Linked DNA regions of Arabidopsis thaliana. The protein of the gene in region 1 interacts with the protein of each later gene in a pairwise test. Each region holds a gene or a part of one and is shown on either strand. Other genes may lie near its edges. The genes, in order: KCO5 and AT1G22550.

Region 1 (4,501 bases):
AAAAAAACTCGAAAACATTTCTGAATGTGACGATGGACAAAGTCATGAAATTCATGAAAAAAACTCGAAAACATTTCAAAACGCGATCAAATCTAAATAGATCATGAAAATTGAAAACAGGGACAAAGTCACAAAGAGCATAAATATCACCAATCTCAAGAATGAGAATGAAGATGGATCGAGACCGCTATCATATTCATCAACAACGAACAAACCCAAGGAAAAGAAATCTCTCCAAACTTAGAAGACTACCATTGACAGTAACATTGTATTTTAAGCCTTAAATGGTTAAACATGCATAATCTTAATGGACCTTTAAGCAAGCCTAGTTAGTCAATAAAAGGCCTAATTATGTATAACGTATAGTCGATGAAATGAAATTTGTCACATATATTTTGCTTGCCCTTCAAAAAATTCGATTGGTAAATTGGTAATATGTAAATTACATAATGGTGGAAACACATAAAACATAAAATACTAACTCATTTACTTTTCTAATATTCTTTTATTTATACTTTTTAAAATCAAAACAAAACAAAAAAATCATATATTTTATTAACACTATACTGTTAAATTGACAAAATACTTGCAAAATTGCACTAAAAACTAGATTTTAACCCGCGATGTACCGCGGGACTATTTATTTTATTAAAAATAACTAAAAATATATTATTTTATAAATTATCTGTATGTAACATATTGTTTGTATTTTATAAATATATAATCATAATTTTTATATATTGTACAATCCCTTGATTTTATCATGGAGTACACCGTAAGTCGATTTTTAAAATTTAAAATTTAAAATTATATATGATTTTTGTTAAGATTGTTTCTTTTGTCATATATTTTAAATTATATCATTGTATTTTAATTGTTAGTTATAGGATTTCACCCGTTGTATAACGTGTCGTATTACTATAAACTCAAACCCGTCTTACCATCTAATACCGTTCAATGAAATTAAACATATTTAATGGATTTCATCCTAGGTATACTGTCTAATATTACTATCGACCCAAACCCGTTCTACCATCTAACCCCGTTCAATAAAATTAAATATTATTTTATTATTTTTGTTTTAATAATACTTTAATTTTAATTATATATAATTCAAATCAATTTCAAACTTTTTATTTTAAATGGTTATTTAATTGTTATAATTTATAAAGTTCATATATTTTAATATTCTAAAACCGTCATACAATCTAATCCCGTTCGGTGAAATTAATAATTATTTTTTAAATTTTTTGTTTAAATAATATTTTTATTAAAAGATTTATAATTCAAATAAATTTAAAAGGTGTCTTTCAAATAGTTATTTGATTTTTTATAGATTTTACATCTAAAATATTTCTCTATATGTAACATATAGTTTTGTATTTTATAAATATTATAAACGTTTTTCTCTTAAATATTATAAACGTTTTATAAACTTTAAATAATTATAATATTTACCTTTTTAATAAAGTATAATATTAATAATCATTTAAATAATTATGTATAGCTAATTTTAAGGGATTTGATTTAAAGTTTGTTGTTTAGATTAAATTTGAATGAATAATGTGATTGATATATTAAATAAAGAATTAAAAATCAAATTAAATAATTAAAGAAAAAAGAATTAATGCCAATGGTATACCATTGTAAATAAGTGTCAAGTAGAGGATTTATTTGCTAAAATGATTAGAAAAATGTATATATAGATACCATTACCAATCTAAACCTAAACACTTACTTGCGTGAAGCCATGAACTAACAATAATAATACACATGTGGTCTGACGATAAATCTGATTTTCATACGTGGCATACTATGTGTGCCCCATTCTATAAACAAATTGCTAATCCAAAACACCAATCACACTCCTCTCTCTGTTTTTTTCTTTTCTTTTGGCGTTTTCCGTTTGGTAAAAGATTTCATTTTTATTAGCTTTTCAAGATTCAGAGATTCCTAATTTGTTGGTAAATGGAACCACTCATCAGCCCACAACCACGTTTCCGCCTCCAACCCATACCGGAAAATCCCTCCTCCTCCTCCTCCTCCGCCTCCATCACAATCCCTCGCTCTATCTCAAACACTTCCTTCTTCCATGAAATCTCCCAAGAACGTCTTCTCCTTCATCATCAAGACCTCGAACAATCCGTACAAGACGACAAAGAAGACCAAGACTCAGACTCAGACGAAACAAATCGCTTTTTATCTCAGACAAGACCACTTCACCGATCTCGTACAGCTCCAGCTATGGTAATCATCAAAGACTTAAGAACCAAACCTCCAGAAACCAAAAAACCATCACCAGTCTCTAAATCCATAATCAGACAAGCGATTTTCTTGCTAATCGTCTACTTAACCTTAGGCGTTTCAATCTACTCATTCAATCGTGACCACTACTCAGGAATCGAAACCCATCCTGTAGTCGACGCTCTCTATTTCTGTATCGTCACTATGTGTACTATTGGTTACGGTGACATCGCTCCGTTGACTCCATGGACAAAGATCTTCGCTGTTGTTTTCGTCTTGTTCGGATTCGGGTTCTTGGATATTTTACTCAGTGGTGTTGTTAACTACGTTTTGGATCTTCAAGAGAGTATGATTCTCACCGGAATCCAAACGAGGCAGCATCATCAACACCATCATCATCATAGATTCTCTGCTAAAGATTATATTATTGATTTTGAGAAAGGGAGGATGAGGATAAGGATGAAAGTTTGTTTAGCGTTATGCGTCGTCGTTTTGTGTATCGGTGTTGGTGCTTTGGTTTTGCATTTCGTTGAGGAATTGGGTTTTGTTGATTCGGTTTATTTGTCGGTTATGTCGGTGACTACTGTTGGTTATGGTGATCGTGCTTTTAAAACGCTTCAAGGGAGGCTTTTTGCGGCGGTTTGGCTACTTGTTTCGACTCTTGCGGTGGCGCGTGCGTTTTTGTATTTGGCGGAAGCGAGAATTGATCGCCGGCATCGGAAAGCTGTTAAATTGGCGTTGAATAGAGAAATCACTGTTGATGATTTGCTCAAAGCTGATACTTATCAACATGGTTTCATCAGGTTAACATCTTTTAAAAACCTCAACTTTGTTTTTTTTTTTAGAATCTTGGATTAATTGCTTAGAGATGAGAGTGATTTGAGCTGATTCTGATAAAGGGTTTTATGCAATTTGTGTGAAGTTTAGGTCAAATAAGTTGCAGAGAGTGTTAAGCTTTAGATTAATCATGTTAATGTTAAGACTTTTTCTTGCAAGCAACAGTTTAGTTATGTCTTTGTGTAATCTAATTTCAATGATTTAAGTTTGAGTGATTAGTGTTTTGACTTTTTTTTTTATGTTTTGATTTGGTTTTGGTGTGTGTTTCAGTAAATCAGAGTATATAGTGTTGAAGCTTAAGGAAATGGGGAAGATCACTCAGAAAGACATTGACCAAGTTGTGATTCAGTTCGAGAAACTTGATCCTAATCAAATAGGAAAAATCACATTACCTGATCTTTTGGGGGATCCTTTGTGACAGAAGAACATTCTCTGTCTCTGCTTTTTTAGGTTTTCTTCTTATTCAATTATCTTCTCTTTTTTTAATTCCTTTTTAAAGAAAAATAACTGAATATATGTAGCAACAGTGATTCATACAAAGAATTATCTCTCAGTTTATAAGAGATAATATGAAAATGTATATGCTTTATTTTTGCTCTCTATAAAAAAATTATGTTCAAAGATATTCGCTAAGCGCTAATCAGATGCTCGGGCAAGGTTGTTAACAATTTTCTTTATTTTATTTTATTTTTTATTATTTTTTTAATATCAAGAGGTTTTGGGCCGAGACACGTAATCTCCAAAGTCCGTAACAATTTTCTTTATTTATCTTTCAAAATAATGAACATGTCGAGATATTTTCATGTATATCTTTTTTTATGAGATGACAATGAACAAAGAGACTGAGACATTCATTTGAGTTTGGTGAGATATATAATTAAGAAAATTAAAAATGATATGGACAAACTAATCTTTCACTTGTGAGATCAGTCAGTAGAAAGCTGACGCTTTTTGTCTCTTGATTCAGTAGAAAGGTCGATTGACTAAGTCATCAATCCTAGTCCATGCACAAATTTTTTTAGTCTAAAATGATTATTAAACCGGTAAGATTGATTATAGAATCAGATAATCAGTTTAACACAGATTGGTATTGGTTATTCTGCTTCTGCATATCAATTTATCATTAAAACAAAACAAGTTGAGAGTTGTTGAGTGATACTACTCGGATAATGACTACATATGAGAATTGAGAAGAAACTTTTTAGTGTTTTCTTTAAATGTTTTAGCTGAATACTTTAGCTTTGAAAGAAGAAGAAAAATGTAGGAATTGACTTTTTATAGTTATTTCGATCATCTCTTAAGATAATTTAAAGTTTGAATTAATATTGTTGTTTTCGGACGTATCTTATGAACCGACAACAAAGAATCTCATAAAGGCAATGTAAATGGGTTCCACTTCTATATATCCACTACCTTTGAA
Region 2 (4,916 bases), on another chromosome or scaffold:
ATCCCAATTGCAAGATCATTTACACATAAACCAGGCGGAATCACAATGCTTCAGAGAATCGGCACAGGCATATTCCTCTCTTTCCTTGCTATGGTTGTAGCCGCTCTAGTGGAGATGAAAAGGCTTAAAACTGCTGCGGATTACGGGCTCGTAGATTCACCTGACGCTACGGTTCCAATGAGTGTGTGGTGGTTAGTTCCTCAGTATGTTCTCTTTGGTATCACGGATGTTTTCGCAATGGTGGGTCTTCAAGAGTTCTTCTATGACCAAGTCCCGAATGAGCTGAGGAGTGTGGGGTTGGCTCTGTACTTGAGCATATTCGGTATTGGTAACTTTCTCAGCAGTTTCATGATATCAATCATTGAGAAAGCGACAAGCCAATCTGGTCAAGCGAGTTGGTTCGCAAACAACCTGAACCAAGCTCATCTCGATTACTTTTACTGGTTACTCGCTTGTCTCAGCTTCATTGGCTTAGCCTCCTACTTGTATGTTGCAAAGTCTTACGTCTCTAAAAGGCTCGACACCAGTTAAACCCAAAATCTCTCGTTTAAATATCGCAGGTACTCTCTTTCCCTCTCTTGTGTAATTTTTGAATACACAAATCATTACTGTGCAAATGTATACTTTTCATGTCTGGTATATCGTGTTGATCATGTGGCTCTTTTGCCAAATCCATCGCATCTTTCACGTCCCTACCATTACATGGCTCAACACCAGTAAATGTATATTTTTTCATGTTTGGTGTATAGTCTTTTCCTTATCGTGTATATTATCCAGCTGTGTTCCAAGCTAACTTCCAGAGATTTCATCTTAATAAACTAAAATTGTTGAATAAAAAATAGGTTAAAGAGTTTCTAACCACGTTATGAATAACCAAATATGATATGAAAGTAGATACACGTTGACTTTTTTTTTCTTAGACTTGATCTACACGGCGATACACATACAGCCTGGATAATAACAAAAACGCCAAGAACCCAATGGCAGTGAAAGCAGCAAGCAACCAGTAAAAATAATCGACATGGGCTCTGTTCAGGTTAGTATTGAACCAGCTATCGCCGCCATTTTTCCCGGTAGCCCAATTAATCACAGTGATTAGAAAACCGCTCAAGAAGCTCGCAAGACCCATCGCACTCAAAGAAAGTGCAAGACCAATACTCCTTAGCTCCGTGGGGACCTGGTCGTAGAAGAATTCTTGTGTCCCCACTAGTGAGAATACATCGATCATCCCAAGTAGTAAATACTGAGGAACGAACCACCATATGGACATTGGGATGGTTGCGTCCGGTCTATCCACAAGCCCATGTTCTTTAGCCGTCTCGAGCCGTTTCATTTCTACTAACGCTGCAACCACCATATTTAAGCTGGAGAGCACCATTCCAGCTCCTATTCTTTGTAGCATTGTGATCCCTGAAGGCTTTTTGGTAATCAATCTAGCTAACGGAAGGAAAACACGCTCATAAGTTGGAACTGAGATGAAAATCGATAAACCGATGAGTGCTTGAAAAGAAGCCGGAGGGATCTCGAAACCCGGCAAGATTTTTCTGTCCACCGTAACGCCTTGTTTTGTGAAGAAAGTAGCATATTGAGCGTAAGGAATCGTGCTCACTACTGATGTGATCCATATCGGAATAAGCCTAACCAAAGCCATCGCGTCTTCCACGTCCCTACTACTACATGGCTCTACACCTCCTTCTCCTGGTAGCAACGCTTTTGCTAGGAACCTTAGTAAAAATAAAGAAAACTTTATACTCAAGTCACAATAAACCAAAACTCAAAAGATTCAAGACTTGTGAACTTACTCAAGTTGTCCTTTACATTTCTTGTACGAACCAACTTCCAACTGACCTGAATGTGTTAACTTCAGTTTCCGATTCTTGAACGCCACCAAGAAAACTCTACCGATCCTCGCAAAAGCGTTATTCTTCCCCTCGCGATCTCCTCTTGGATATCTATAAGTTTTTCTTCCAAACAAGAAGAGAGCAAGAGCCATGACCATGAACAAACAAGGGATACCAAACCCAAGAGCCCAATTAACATTGTCTTGAACGTAAACCACCACAATAATCGACAAAGTTATTCCCGCGGATAAACTCAAGAACCACCAATTGAAAAACGATCCTCTACTTATTCTCTCCTTTGGATCTCCCACATCAAACTGGTCAGCACCAAAAGCTTGAACACATGGCTTGTGTCCGCCTTGTCCGATCGCCACCAAATACAGAGAACAAAAGAATAATATATTCACCCAAAAAAACGGTTTAGCAGAAGCGTTGCGGTTATGTTGACGTTGCTCCGATAATCCCATTAGGATTAAGATAGAGGATAAGGTCAATAGTCCTAGTCCCTGTAACAAAAATCCCCTCAAATTTTAGTGAAAATTCTAAAATGTTATCAAGATATTGAAGTAAGAGACAAGAACGTTATTACAAGTATGTAGATGAGGGAAGCAACAACAATGGTACGGTAACGACCAAGATAAGCATCTGCAATGAAAGCTCCTAAAACAGGAAGTATCGAGGCGGTTCCTGACCATGTGTTCACGTTCACGGCGGCGGTGGCTGTTGATTGTCCGAGAGGTCCGGTGAGGTAAGTAATTAAGTTGGAACCAATCCCAAAGTAAGCAAATCTTTCTCCAACTTCCACACCTAAAAAACCACACCAAAAAAATAAAATAAAATGTTTAAAAAATAATGGTTTATGAGACAATTTACAAATCACAAAAACTGTTCTTTACCTATAATGTACCAGGCGGATCTCCATCCGCCGGTGGAAGATTTTCCGGCAGGAAGTCCACGGTGGTCAACGGAGTCGCTGACGGAATCTTCTATAAGTGCAGCTTCTTCTTCGGCTATCGCCATTTTCTTGTCGGAGGAAACTGGATTTTAAGCTATATGTATTTATTTATATTTAGTTTTGATATTAAAGCTATATTTGCTGCGTGAATAATGAACACGATAAATAGATTGTGATATGTATATATTCTTTTTATATAGTCTAGTCAGATGAGTGATTGATTATGAGGAGCTGTATTATTTTTATGATTTGTACAGCTGCTATCATAATTTTAAATGGACGTGATTCACGAGCTATATTTTAATCCTCTAATATGATTACATAATCTAAAGTTACAACTAACAACCAATAAACATGCGGTTTCATGTCTATATATCACTGTTTTCGTTATTTTATCTTACAGAAATCAAAAGTCAACTATTAGGGTTTATTAGCTACTAAATTTAAATGACACGATCCATACAAGCTAATTTTCATCTTTTAAATAAGCTAAAAGTTTTTTTTTTAGTAATTGTTTGTTATTAATTCTTAGTGTAATAATCCTTTTTAAATCGTGTTAATTCAGATAATGATTTTAGATTACTATTTTGTGCTATCATGATTTTATTTTATTTTTGTTAAAATTAGTTGCATTATATACCACAATTCCTGTATAATAAAGAAAGTACTATGAGTCGAGAAAGTAATTAAATAGTGTATAACTTAAAATTGTTTATAATTTAACTAACCGTCGTAAGACCCTTTAACTGTTATTCAGTTAAAAACGTCACATTACATGTATAATAAGTATAAACACTTTTATGAATAAACTTAAGGGAAACTAAAAATTGAAAATTTTATTTTGACGTATTATTGTTTAAGTATAAACTAGAAGTGCGTTTTCAGTATGAGCGGGTTCAAAAGAGATGCTATGAGTGTCAACGTTTGACTCATGAGAGAGATGTTTGCCCTGTCCTCATAAAAGCAAGACAAGATGCTGCTTTGGCAAGACGCTCTGGTAAACCAGTGGAGAGACCTAAGAAACCCCCTGTTTTGAAAGAATCAGACCCTTTGTTTGGGGTTTTAAGAGAGGATCAAGTTGGGATTGACAAGTTGACGGGCAGACCGAGAATCGCTGCAGATGTTTTAGAAGGGATGAGACAATATCTTTTGGTCTCTGATGAAACTGAGAAGCTGCTGAGGATTAACAAGGTGAAAAAGTCTGTTGGAGAAGTAGAGAAGGATCCAGTTCTGAGAAAGTCAATGCTGAGTCATGAACCAGCCCCTGTGGTTCATCTGGACTTGTCTAAAGACAAAGGAGTTTTCTTTAGCTATGCTGATGAAGGGATTAACTTGAGGAATGTTGGAAAAGTATTAGCTCAGCCCAATCTGCGTGAAGAGGGTGGGACTTCAAGTTCTTCACATTCGTGGAATTTAAATCAGGCTGGCCCTAATGCCTTTGATGTGGATGCCAATTTTCTTGCTTTGTCTCAGCCTTTTCAGGATAATTCGGCGGTTTTTAAAGCTGGGTTCTTTGAACCTAGCTTATCCGGAATTAAGCCTAAGAAAGCAAAGGCAAGAAAAAGGCCAACTAAGAATCAGAGGAAAGCTAATCCTTTACCGGCTTCAGGTCTTGCTGCATCACAAGAGTTGAAGAAAGGTCTCAGTCATGGTGCTAAAGAGAAACGAAAGGCAGTTGATGAGGGAACTAGCACTGCAAAATCCACAAAACTCAATCCCTTAGAGGTGATCCCAAAGGGGGGATTGCCCACCGCGCAATGAGCATTATCAGCTGGAATTGTCAAGGCTTGGGACGGTCTCAAGACTTGGCTTTCCCTCGTCTTAAGGAATTGCGTAAAAAGTATTTCCCTGAGATGTTGTTTCTGATGGAGACTATGAATAGTAGAGATGTTCTTGTTGATTTGCATACATTTTTAGGTTATGATAGAGTGTATTCTATAGAGCCTGTTGGAAGGTGTGGTGGTTTAGCTATCTTTTGGAAGGAAAGTGTTAAGATCGATATCAAGTTTGCTGATAAGAATTTGATTGATCTTCAAGTGCAGTTTGGTGCGGTGAACTTTTTTCTGTCTTGTGTGTATGGTGACCCCGACTTTAAAAAAAGAAAGATTGTTTGGGAAAGA

The links.
Region 2: the proteins of KCO5 (region 1) and AT1G22550 interact in a protein complementation assay, tested with the Arabidopsis thaliana proteins (one large-scale study listed by BioGRID).

Annotation. Positions count from the first base shown.
Region 1 is NC_003075.7:791,435-795,935, forward strand, and holds KCO5 (Ca2+ activated outward rectifying K+ channel 5), read left to right. Parts: upstream 1-1,742; 5' UTR 1,743-1,968; coding exon 1,969-3,047; intron 3,048-3,351; coding exon 3,352-3,499; 3' UTR 3,500-3,803; downstream 3,804-4,501. UniProt on the Arabidopsis thaliana protein: Probable voltage-independent potassium-selective tonoplast ion channel.
Region 2 is NC_003070.9:7,965,692-7,970,607, forward strand, and holds AT1G22550 (Major facilitator superfamily protein), read right to left. Parts: upstream 3,002-4,916; 5' UTR 2,862-3,001; coding exon 2,738-2,861; intron 2,649-2,737; coding exon 2,431-2,648; intron 2,348-2,430; coding exon 1,803-2,347; intron 1,725-1,802; coding exon 917-1,724; 3' UTR 809-916; downstream 1-808. Other genes in the region: AT1G22540 (Major facilitator superfamily protein), read left to right, coding at 1-531.